Linked DNA regions of Xenopus tropicalis. The protein of the gene in region 2 interacts with the protein of the main gene of each other region in a pairwise test. Links are inferred from orthologs where the notes say so. Each region holds a gene or a part of one and is shown on either strand. Other genes may lie near its edges.

What was found.
Region 1: the proteins of fhl2 (region 2) and ccdc92 interact in binary tests that used the Homo sapiens proteins (3 or more experiments, as listed by UniProt). The two-hybrid records come from large-scale screens. The link is inferred for Xenopus tropicalis from reciprocal best matches to the Homo sapiens genes FHL2 and CCDC92.
Region 3: the proteins of fhl2 (region 2) and dcp1a interact in binary tests that used the Homo sapiens proteins (3 or more experiments, as listed by UniProt). The two-hybrid records come from large-scale screens. The link is inferred for Xenopus tropicalis from reciprocal best matches to the Homo sapiens genes FHL2 and DCP1A.

Annotation. Positions count from the first base shown.
Region 1 is NC_030677.2:160,772,824-160,776,577, reverse strand, and holds the start of ccdc92 (coiled-coil domain-containing protein 92), read right to left. Parts: upstream 2,817-3,754; 5' UTR 2,499-2,816; intron 2,450-2,498; exon of another isoform or gene 2,073-2,449; coding exon of another isoform or gene 2,057-2,072; exon of another isoform or gene 2,053-2,056; intron 2,030-2,052; exon of another isoform or gene 1,380-2,029; coding exon of another isoform or gene 1,265-1,379; intron 1-1,264.
Region 2 is NC_030678.2:111,734,462-111,738,215, forward strand, and holds the start of fhl2 (four and a half LIM domains protein 2), read right to left. Parts: upstream 2,643-3,754; 5' UTR 2,305-2,642; intron 1-2,304. UniProt on the Homo sapiens protein: May function as a molecular transmitter linking various signaling pathways to transcriptional regulation. Negatively regulates the transcriptional repressor E4F1 and may function in cell growth.
Region 3 is NC_030680.2:150,726,071-150,729,724, reverse strand, and holds part of dcp1a (mRNA-decapping enzyme 1A), read right to left. Parts: intron 3,375-3,654; coding exon 3,334-3,374; intron 3,226-3,333; coding exon 3,098-3,225; intron 1-3,097. UniProt on the Homo sapiens protein: Necessary for the degradation of mRNAs, both in normal mRNA turnover and in nonsense-mediated mRNA decay. Removes the 7-methyl guanine cap structure from mRNA molecules, yielding a 5'-phosphorylated mRNA fragment and 7m-GDP.

The DNA.
Region 1 (3,754 bases), on a different chromosome or scaffold from region 2:
CATTAAGCTAAATTTGCATATTTTTAGTACTATGATGGCACTTACCATTAACTAACTGTCAGAAAGCAATGTTACGGTGAAGACACACAGAGCTACTAGTAGCAGCTACTTGTCAAGGATACTAAAACAGACAATACTGATCATTTACTGATAAGTCTCTACGTGTGTTTGAGGAAATTCTCAGTATGGCAGGGGATTTTCTGGCATTTAGTAGCCGTGACAAGTAGCTGCTACTAAGTAGCTCCGTGTGTCTTCACCCTTAGAATGTGTTGGCAAGCAATGCAAAATATACAAGAGTGATGCTGTCTTATCTCACTGCCTGGAAGCAACATGTATGCCGACATATTAAGTTACTATAAAAACAATTATCTATGTACACATATTTATAACAGAACACATTTTTAAACGAACATAAATACAGATATGGGATCAATTATCTGGAAACTCGATATTCAGAATATTTATATAATTATATTTTTTTAAAAAATTCCTTTTTTTCTGTAATAACAAAATAGTACCTTGTACTTGATACAAAACAATCCTATTGGGTTTAATTAATGTTTAAATGTTTTTCTTAGCAGACTTAAGGTATGGTGAATTTACAGAAAACCCAGTTCCCAAGAATTCTGGATAACAGGTCCCATAACTGTATATTTATTGAAAACTCTGCCTTAAAGGATACAGTAACTAAACTGTAAAAATAAAAAAGGCACTAGCAAGCCTGACAGTTATACGAGTATAATAACATTGTTGCACCGTATCAAAACTAAACAATTTTTCGCAATAGCATTGATCATGGAAAAGTATCTGTTGCACACGTGACTTCCTGCCACCAAGCCTAGTGAAGGACACTGCAGTGAGCCTCTATGAGCCCAATATGGCTAATTAAAGCAGACAATAACTTGATAACAAGGTTACATACAATGTCAAGCAACGGTTGGGAACTTTCACATACGCACAGCACTGTCAACAAATGCATGTTCATATAAGGTTCACATGTGTCAGACTGGCCCTAAAATAGTATTTCTGCTGTAAATTCAATAACATCCTGATTTTCTGCAAACTTTTGCCCACATTGGGAGTGACACAATAAGGCGTGAAGAAAATGCGTCCAACGAGCTCTGTGGCGAGCCTGCTGAACTACTCGTGGGGACACTGTAAGCAACATTTTAGCAATCACTCCAGCAGTAGCATCATGTACTGTTTAGATTTAAAAGAACCGGTAACTACTTTTTTCAGCATGGAGGGAAGGAAAACACCCTACCTTGGAGGATTCCATAGAGAGAGAGGCAGGAGGCACAGCACTGCTGTAGTTGGAGATGGTTGATGTCATTGATACTCCCAGGAGCACACAGAATGGATAGGTCATAATGACACATGGGCCACGCAGCGCTCTCTTTGTTTCCATAAAAGCATGAATTATTAAATGACTACGGCTAATAGGCTCCATACAAAGGCTTCACCAGAAAACTGTCTTACACAGCATCTTATTAATATCAGGACACTTGCTTCCCAACACTCAAACAAGGCATACAAAGGGCACAACAATGGGCAATAATTGACCTAACCGCCCATATTGTATTACATATGAGGTGTGGCAGAGTCCTATGGAAAGAATAATAATGTATCTAATAATAGGAATATAAATATCCATGCTTATCAATAAACCCACTTCAAACATCCCACAGAGAGCAGGGAGCTCTGTATAAGCACTTATTAGCCTCAATCACTAAAGGAAATCTTCCCCATACAGCAAAGCTGAGATACCAGTGAATTTGCCAGCAAATCCAGCCCAAAGGTTAGTGGCCAACCCATGGCCCCTCAGTAACCCAGTAGTTGTAGTACTATAAGAGGACAGGGGTTGGACAGCCCTGCACTCCATCTGCATTGCGGATAACACTGACTTTAGTGTGGGTCACTAATCACCATTGTGTGTCTCCCAGCGCTAGGTGCTGTAATAGTGATGCGATGTACTAATGAGGCGCTAAGCACCAAGGAGGTGTAGTATGATCTCAGTGACTCCCCCCATAGCCGCAGCCTGCACCCACTCACCCACCGCTCCTCATCAGCATGTGTATGGGCTCCTCACACAGGGGCTTGCCGTGCCATCCCCGGGCAGGCTACTGACTGAGTGGAACAGAGACAGGCTGCTCCCAGCCCCGGGCATGAGCAGAGGAACCCGCCCTTAGCGTCCCATGGGGGTCACGTCCATCCTGCACACTGGCGATGCCCCCACTCAGCGATGACGATGAGCCATTAGCGCGCCCCCCTCCCTCTCTCCCAAGGCAGATCAGAGAGATCACAATGAGATTGGGAGGCAAATCCCTAGCACTTAATGATGCCCTAGGAGCGCTGATTACATGGCAAGGGCACAGTTATACCAACGCACAGAGCTCCTCCCTATACAACTGCAAGAGAGATAGAGTGCAGGAATGATGCGCATATATAGGGCAGGAATAGCGCCAGCCAGGGACAGGTGCACTAGCTATAATACATACCGTCTCTGTGCGTGTGTGGCGTCTCTTTCTGCCAGTCAGTGGGCGCTGGGAGTCATGCTCTCTTGTCCCGGCACCCAGTGCCCTTTCGCCCGCGCCAGTCAGTCCGGTCAGCTCCGTTCTTATCTCCCTGAGCTACCGACCACAATAAAGCGGTGCATGCCGGGAGGCCTCCTGTAACTCGTCCCCAGGGAGGAATAGGTTATTACCGTACAGTCATGTGCCCCTTACTAAGCGTTCTACTGCCACTCGGGCCCCCCAGGTCTGCGCCAGCGGGCTGCAGGGAAACACGCAAGCGCAGGGCTCAGGTGCAATGCGGTCACCATAGCAACGGAGTGACCCAGGAAATGAGAGAAAGAGTTGCAGTGACAGGGAGGGACAACCTCTGGGCGTGTGAGCTGCGCCTCAGTGCAGGGAGCTCATGGGGCGGCTTCTTCCTTCTGTATTATTGTTGTGCGTAGCGCACCGGCACCTCTGGCTTGTACTCTCTCAGGTGCTAGAATCTCAAAGCGAAGGTGCCATTCATCAGCAGCAAATGTTACTGAATGAAATATACCATATGTGTCCCTGCCTACTAGTTTGGGAGAGAAATACTTAGTGGTGGCAGAGCGAAGAGTCCTGCGTGTGACTATGTTATCAGCGGGGAAGGAGGGTGGTTTGTCTTTATCCCACAAGCAGTAGGCACGGCTCTGGGCAGGACTTGGAGTCAAAGTAGGCCCTGGCATTTCAAGTACACAGAGGCCAAACTGCCCGATAAACAGTGACTGTCACTGGCACCTTACAGCAGCCCCAGAACTCACAGATTGCCAGACCGCCTGGCAGGGCTCTCCACCAATGCAGGTCCCTTTGGACTGTTTTTCTAAAGTTCCACACAGTGCCATAATAACTTGCCTCAAAAACCATATGACAGCTTTTCCAAACTATTATCACTTCACTATCTGCAGATTTGTTTTAGAAAATCCCAATAAAAATAGCAAAATGTTCTCTCCCTGCCGCCATACTGTATGGAATAAAAGCTCACTTTAGTCCAAAACTGCTAAACTTTTTGCATAAAATTGGCCCCCAGTGGTAATAGGTGTTACGGGTCATACATTTGGTACAGTTATACAGTTCATTATGGAAAATCTGTGCCTGTTCGGCCAGAATAAAGGCTTTGTAAATATTAAATATTTGATATTCTATTCACATGGCAATTGCGCAGCACAATGAATGGTGGAGGCCCTTCAGTATTAATGTAAATTGCTCTACTGTGGCCTTTT
Region 2 (3,754 bases):
TGACAATTGGATCATACTGGGTTGCGGTTTATCTGTGTAGCTAAGCTCATAGAATTCTGTCTGTTTTGTGAGAAGGGTTTCGTACCCCAGTGTAGATCTGACAATGCTGCTTAGCTTGATAATTGCACAACCTAATGTGCGGCTGCTCAGTAGTGTTAAGGCAGCACTTAGCTCTTCCCATCTTAATTACAATCACAAACTCCAAAAAGCAAATTCCCATACCTTCCGTTAGCTGGTCGTTATACTTGTCAATGGCAACATAATCTCTAAAGCATTCTGACAGGCTCGTTAAAGACAAGTTTTATTTCTGTCTTCCAAATCAGTGCCCTGCTCTGTATCTCTGCACACCTTATTGCTAATCCTGTGATGTGACACTGATTTCCCTTTCATCTGGGTACCCTGTCTTTATTTTATCTGTCACGCCAAGGAGCAATAGAGAAAATCCAATGTATTGCACCAAATGTTATTGTCAGATTTCATTTCCACAACAATTTGGGTATTTGAGTATTCCTACGGTCTTTGCCATGGTCACAGTTTCTATACTTAAGATTCCAGTACTCAAAAGGTCTGGTGCTTGTTATGATTCTCTTTATGGAGACGTATAAGCTGAGCATTTCATGGCTTAGTTGCCAGAATGGTATGTACTGTATGGTGCCCTGCTTCTATCTTTCCATTTACTCTTCATGTATCTTTATAACAAGGCATTAAATTAAAATCCAAACACCTTTAACATGCAAATATTTCCCAACAGAAATGTTTTGTTTTTTAAAACTTTTTTTTACATTTATTATAAGAATGTTTGACTGTTTTAAATATATTTTTAATTTTTCCCAAAGCAGATCCCATACTGTGGTTAATGATTCAGACAGCTGTTAAAGAGGTTGTTCACCCTTAAATTAACTTTTAGTATGATGTAGATATTTTGAAATTTTTTGTGCTTTTTGGGTTATTTAAGAGAGACACGGAATAGAAAGCAAAGGAATAAAAAGCATCAATAACAATAAAATAGCTCCACAGAGCAATAGTTTTTTGGCTGCCAGTGTCAGTGACCCCCATTTTAAAGCTGGAAAGAGGCAGAAGAGGCAAATAATTCAAAAGCTGTACAAAATAAAAATGAAAGGCCAGTTGAATAAGAATAGGACATTCTATAACACAATAAAGGATAAAATAAAGTTGAACTACCCCTTTAAAAAATTGGTTTGCTGCTCTCTGCATGCAGCTTATGATTCTTTGAACAGCGACGTGAATGAATGAATCGAATGTACTTTTGATTTTAGCTCTCATTATTTTGCTGCCGAAATCAGCTGCCTTCCCTCCAATAATCCAGTGTCTTGCATGCACTTGTTCCTGCTTTCCAAATTACGGCAAGGCCATCTCCCATAGACTCCATTTTAATCCTATAATTCACATTTTTAAAAATGATTTCCTTTTTCTCTGTAATAATAAAACAGTAGCTTGTACTTGATCTCAACTAAGTTATAATCAATCCTTATTGGAGGCAAAACAATCCTATTGGGTTTAATTACTGTTTAAATAATGTGTTTAGCAGACTTTAGGTAGGAGATCCGAAATACGGAAAGACCCCTTATCCGGAAAACCCCAGGTCCAAAGCATCCTGGATAATGGGTCCCATACCTGTACTGACATGTTCCTATAACAGATAGTAATGTGTCACTATTTCTTATTACCATATAAAGCAAGGTCTGCTTCTTAGTTGCACCTAGTCCAGCACGCCGAGCATTCAGCACGCCGAGCATTCAGCATAAGAGATCAATAATATTATTATCATAAACTGTTGTGCTTCCTTTCCAAAAAGTACAGTCAAAAGAAATCATTGCATTTGAATTCATACAGTGGTTTGTGTAGATACATATTCTAGGTCTCTAGAAAGTTTTAATTCTATTTGGCCATCAGGCTTTGTGTACTAAAGGAGAATAAGGCAGACAGTTCCACTTCATCCAGAGTATCCTGTTTATAGTTTGTGCCTCTGCAAGGATAAACTGCACTGCAGTGCTATTAACAAAATTGTAAGTGCCTTTTTATTAGAGTAACCTCCAACCTGTGGCTCTCCAGCTATTGCTGAACTACAAGTTACAACATAACACAATACCATCTTGCTTTGGTGGCGTGAGTGCAATTTAAGCACCTAGAGTTCTGGACCCTGTTGCACACACATTTTCAAAATTAGTGAAATAAAATAACTGATTTTTTATCCTCAGTAGGCATTTTAAAGTACATGAGAGTTTTAATGCATTATACTATATTATGTCTCTAGCTGCTGTGCAAAGTAAAAACAACCCTTACCTGCGGTTAAAGTGTGCCAGGTCTGCCCTCCAGTCAGAGAATGAAATGGCTGGGACAAGTCCTTTGGAGTTTTGATACTCACTGAATTATTTAAACAATGAGTGTGATAATTAGGAAGATGGACATTCTTCTGCTTGCTGTGCTATTAATACCATATCTCTAATAAAACAGCTCTTCCCTGCAGATAAGCATAGTGGCACCTCATAGCAAGCAGCCTTTTAAGGCGTTAGTTAGTGACAGACATGTATTTGTGGATGGTTTTTATTCATAGCTCTCCAGTCTTTTAAGTGAGAACAAAACTGGTCAACCTGCATCCCACACAGGCAGCTATAAATTATCCTCTAAAGTGGCCCTGCAACTACAAACTACTCTAAGCAGGCAGCAATTATAGGGAGCAGCAGGGGTTTCACATCTGGTTTTGTAAATTAGGAATAATTAGGAATAAATCTTTATTTATAAAGTGCTATTTGTGTATGCAGTGTTACGCTTTTTTATAGTACATTATCAGGACAGTCAGAAGTGAGCCAACAAGGAAACAGTGACACAGGAGGAAGGTGGTTCCAGGCCTAGAAAGTTTACAATTTATGTGGCTGAGTAACTTACAGACAAAGCATGGAGAGTAATAAGTACAGCCATTACTCTGAATGAGTGAGCTCTGAATCACACCTGGCACCAGATACTATGCTAGGGCTCCAACAGGCAGGATTTGATTTTAGTTCTGAAGAGCTTGTGAGCTGGGGCACTCACTCATTTGTGTATGTGACTGTCCCAACATGGTCGCCTGTGCTGGGCGCTCCCTTCTACTGCAGCGTGGGCACTCTGCGCTTCCAGACAACTGTAGACACCTGCCTTGTTCCCAGCACCTTAATAACCAGAGAGTGTTGTATTATGGAAAATTTGTACTGTTTAACTAGCTTTTAATGAGTATAATATGTAACTCAAATTCCAAATTGTTTTTTTTTCTCAGGCTTTTAATATAATGCATTTTTTTCTCAGCCTTTTAATATAATGCATTTGCTAACATGTAATATTCAAATAGGCTACTAGTTACATGCTAAAGGAAGCAGGACCTTGGTAGGAGCACGTCTGTTATAGCACATTTTCTATCTTAAAATATCCCTTTAACTAGTAGGAGTAATCAGAACACTGACACTAATCTTCACTGCTGGATGTGCATGCACCCTACTGGTTCTGCTAAGGATCAGGATAGTACCGACTGTATCAATATGCATTGCTTAGTGGATTTCTATGAATTCTAATACAGTATCTTGGTCATTTTTTTTATCCCCCTGTATTACTCTGTTCATGATTTCAAGGATTTATATGATTTATAGTAGGTCTTTGTAAATAATGTCCCAGGTCTTTAATAAACCTCATGAAATATGACAGACATCACTGAGCCTTCAGGAGAAGGAAAGTCTCAAATGAAAACAGAGACTAATCTGCTTAT
Region 3 (3,654 bases), on a different chromosome or scaffold from region 2:
ACACTATGGCACCCCCTACCCATATGTATAAATACAAATATACAGAGAAGGAATGTTCTGGGCACACAATAAGCTGTACCCCCATAGTGTTCTGTCTAAGGGAAACACTATGGCACCCCCTACCCATATGTATATACAACATTTTAATTTAGCTTTGAAAAGTCCAACATAGCAGCATAATATAGTTTTGGCGCTACAGTGCAGTTTAAATTTCTTGGTTATGGCCTTCAACCTAGATTAAAGTGGAGGCCATTGAAGTACTGTAGGCGGAGTTTAAGGTAGTTGGCAATTCAGTATTGGGTGGGCAAAGTGTATAGGGGCAGGTTATTGTTTTGATTGGTTTACTGATCAGCACTGGGGCCTTGAGTTCGATTCCTGCTCGGTCACACTCTGCAAAGAGTTTATATGTTCTCTCTGTGTCTGAATGGGTTTCCTTCCACACCCAAACACATACACAGGCTGGTTAATTGGCTTCTGATTGAATTGATCGTAGTGTGTAAATGCAATAGGGGCCTCAGACTGTCAGCTCCTCTGAGCATGGACTGAATGATGAATTATCTCTAAAAAGCACTGGGGGAAATTAATAATGAATAATTTGCAATCCAAACAAGCAACTGGAGGGAAGGACCTGTGCTAAAGGGTTAAACCCACCTCGTCAGCAGCAGTGCAGCATTTCCATAGTAACCAAGGGCTTTGATTGCAATAGAGCAGAGATGTTACATCCCCAGAAGTGTAGGAAATAGGGAGCAGTTGGGGGCTCAGCGCTGGGCACTGCACCCTGGCACACATGTGCGCGGAGACGTCTGTCCCAACAACAGAAGCTTCTTTGTCAAACACGTGACAAAAAGAACTCCCTCTAGGGATATGCTGGCCACCATTAAAGTGGCCACACACGTGGCGATTTTCGTTCTTTCGTGCAGCCATCGGTCGCACAAAAGATCGTTCCAATTCACCACTAACGTTCAAGGGCTGAAACATCAGATATGGAGGTAGAAACAATAGGATTCCCACCTCCTTCTGCCGATTCAGCTCTGAAGGCAGATTTTGCTCAGGTGCCTTCTATGGCGCCCGATCGGCGAGTCGACCGATATCCACAGTCTTCTGCGATATCGGTCGCCTCGCCAACTTGCCATACACACACCGAATATCGTATGAAATGGGGTTTCCTACAATATTATCGGTGCGTGTATGGCCAGCTTTAGTGCATTTAAAAATTACAATTTGGGAACAATGTGCCATTTTTCTACCCAGAACGCAGCATGCTTTGCCATAATTAAGCGTTCAAGGTGCTGGTAGCTCCCGGGTCCCCGGCATCAAGTTGTGGCCGATTTATCCAAGGGGCTGGCGGGGAGCGTATGGAGTGGGTTTGGATGCAAGAACCTTTAATTAATGGTGCCTATTCGCACATGAAGGGTGCTGATTTTAGTGTGCCCACAACTGCTGCTGTGCGTGGCCCTCACCTGCCCATGTAGGGGCAGAAACGAGGGGCCTGGCCGACCGATATCTGGCCTGAAATTAGCCAGATCTCGATCGGCCAGGTTAGAAGATTCAGTCGGATCAGGGACCGCATCGGCTCATTGATGCGGTCCCCGAACCGACTGCCCCTTGCCGCCAGTATAATTCAATCGTTACGCCCCAGGGCCAAACGATTGAATTTTTTTTTTTTCCCCCGATATTGCCCACCCGTAGGTTGCCAAGCGAGCGGATCTCAGCGTGTATGGGGACCTTTAGCCTACAGTTTGTAACGCTACTCACCGCTCAAAATAGCTGCAGCCCTTTGTATACTCTAGAACCATAAATTAAAGGAACAGTAACACCAATAAATGAAAGTTTTTTAAAGTGATTAAAATATAATGTACTGTTGCCCTGCACTGGTAACAGTTGTGTGTTTGCTACAGTAACACTACTATAGTTTATATAAATAAGCTGCTGTGTAGCCATGGGGGCAGCCATTCAAGTTGGAAAAAAGGAGAAAAGGCACAGGTTACATAGCAGATAACAGATGACCTCTCTAGAATACAATAGTGATTATCTGTTATCTCCTATGTGCCTGTGCCTTTTCTCCTTTGAATGGCTGCCCCCGTGGCTAAACAGCAGCTTTGTTTATAGAAATTTCTGAGGCAAACACACCAGTTTTTGGTGTTACTGTTCCTTTAAGGTGGCCACAAACGCACGAGACGCCCAATATCGCAAAGCCTGCGGATATCAGCCGAGTTATGACAATTTAAGGTGCCCATACACAGGTAGATTTCAGATGCCCATACGGATCATTCAGACTGATTCAGCTGCCCGAGTATGGGCACCCACAACCGATATCTGGCCTCAAATTGGTTTTGATAATAATAAGGTGTGTTTCCGTCGGATCAGGAACTACATCAGCTCCTTGAATTAAAGTGGCCATACACCTAGCAATTCTGATCATTCCTGCGACCATCAGTCTCGGGAAAGATATGGAGGTAGAAACAATAGGAATTATACCTCCTCCACCTACCGATTCAGCCCTGAAAGCAGATTTTCTTCTCAGATATCTGAAAGGCTGCGGATATCGCTTGTCTCATCGATCGCCAGGTTAAAAGATTTTGATCGGGCGCCTCTTTTAACCTGGCGATCGACGAGACAGGCGATATCCGCAGCCTTTGAGATATCGGTCGTCTCGTTGATCCGCCATACACGCACCGAATATCGTACGATGCTTAAGCCTGGTATCGCACACTTTTAGGTGGACATATGGGGAGAAGATCCCCTCGTTTATTGACCTCACCAAACGGGTAAATCTTACAAGGTATGGTCTTTACCCTTTGTGTTGGGTGCAAAATTATTGAGAATTCTGGTGCCTATTTTCTCTATTTGATACAAAGTATCTGCTACTGCTAAGCCTTTATCCAAGAAAATGCACAAAAAAAGTGCAAATTCACCGGCTCCCCCAGTAAGGAGCCTTAAATAACACAAGGGGGAGAGAATAAACCTTCCGGCCAGCCCAATTATTTTCCTTTCCTGGGAAGCCATTTGCCTGAATTTAGCAGAAAAAGGGGAGCCAAGGGCTCGTGGCCCCGCACCCAGATCGACCCAATTTCCATAGCAAATGAGAGGAACTCACAGCTGGAATTGCGGTACAGCAGGAAGGGCTCATGCAGCTGGAATTCCAGATCTTTGTTCACGGGTTCCACGAGGTTGTGCATGTTTAGCCGATTCATGATGGTGAATCCATGGTGCGGGGAGGCAGATCTATGCAGGGACAGAGAAAGGAGTTTAAGGGGGAAATAAAGTCGATTGGCTCAAGCATTACAGGGCAGGGGAACTGATACCCCCTGAGTGTGCAATGGTGCAACTTACCTTGTGTACACAAATAAGGTCCCCTCCACATCTGTCTTCTCCTACAGGGAAAGGGAGAGAAAACAGCTCATAAGGGCACTGTGACCAAACCCCACCCCTGTCAGGTCTGGGATTAAAAATAGGCCCCGGCATTCCCAGTACCCAGAGGCACAAACAGCCCCCCCAGCCCAATAAATAGTGACTGTCTGTGGCACCTTACAGCCCCCCTGGCATTCCCAGTACCCAGAGGCACAAACAGCCCCCCCAGCCCAATAAATAGTGACTGTCTGTGGCACCTTACAGCCCCCCTGGCATTCCCAGTACCCAGAGGTACAAACAGCC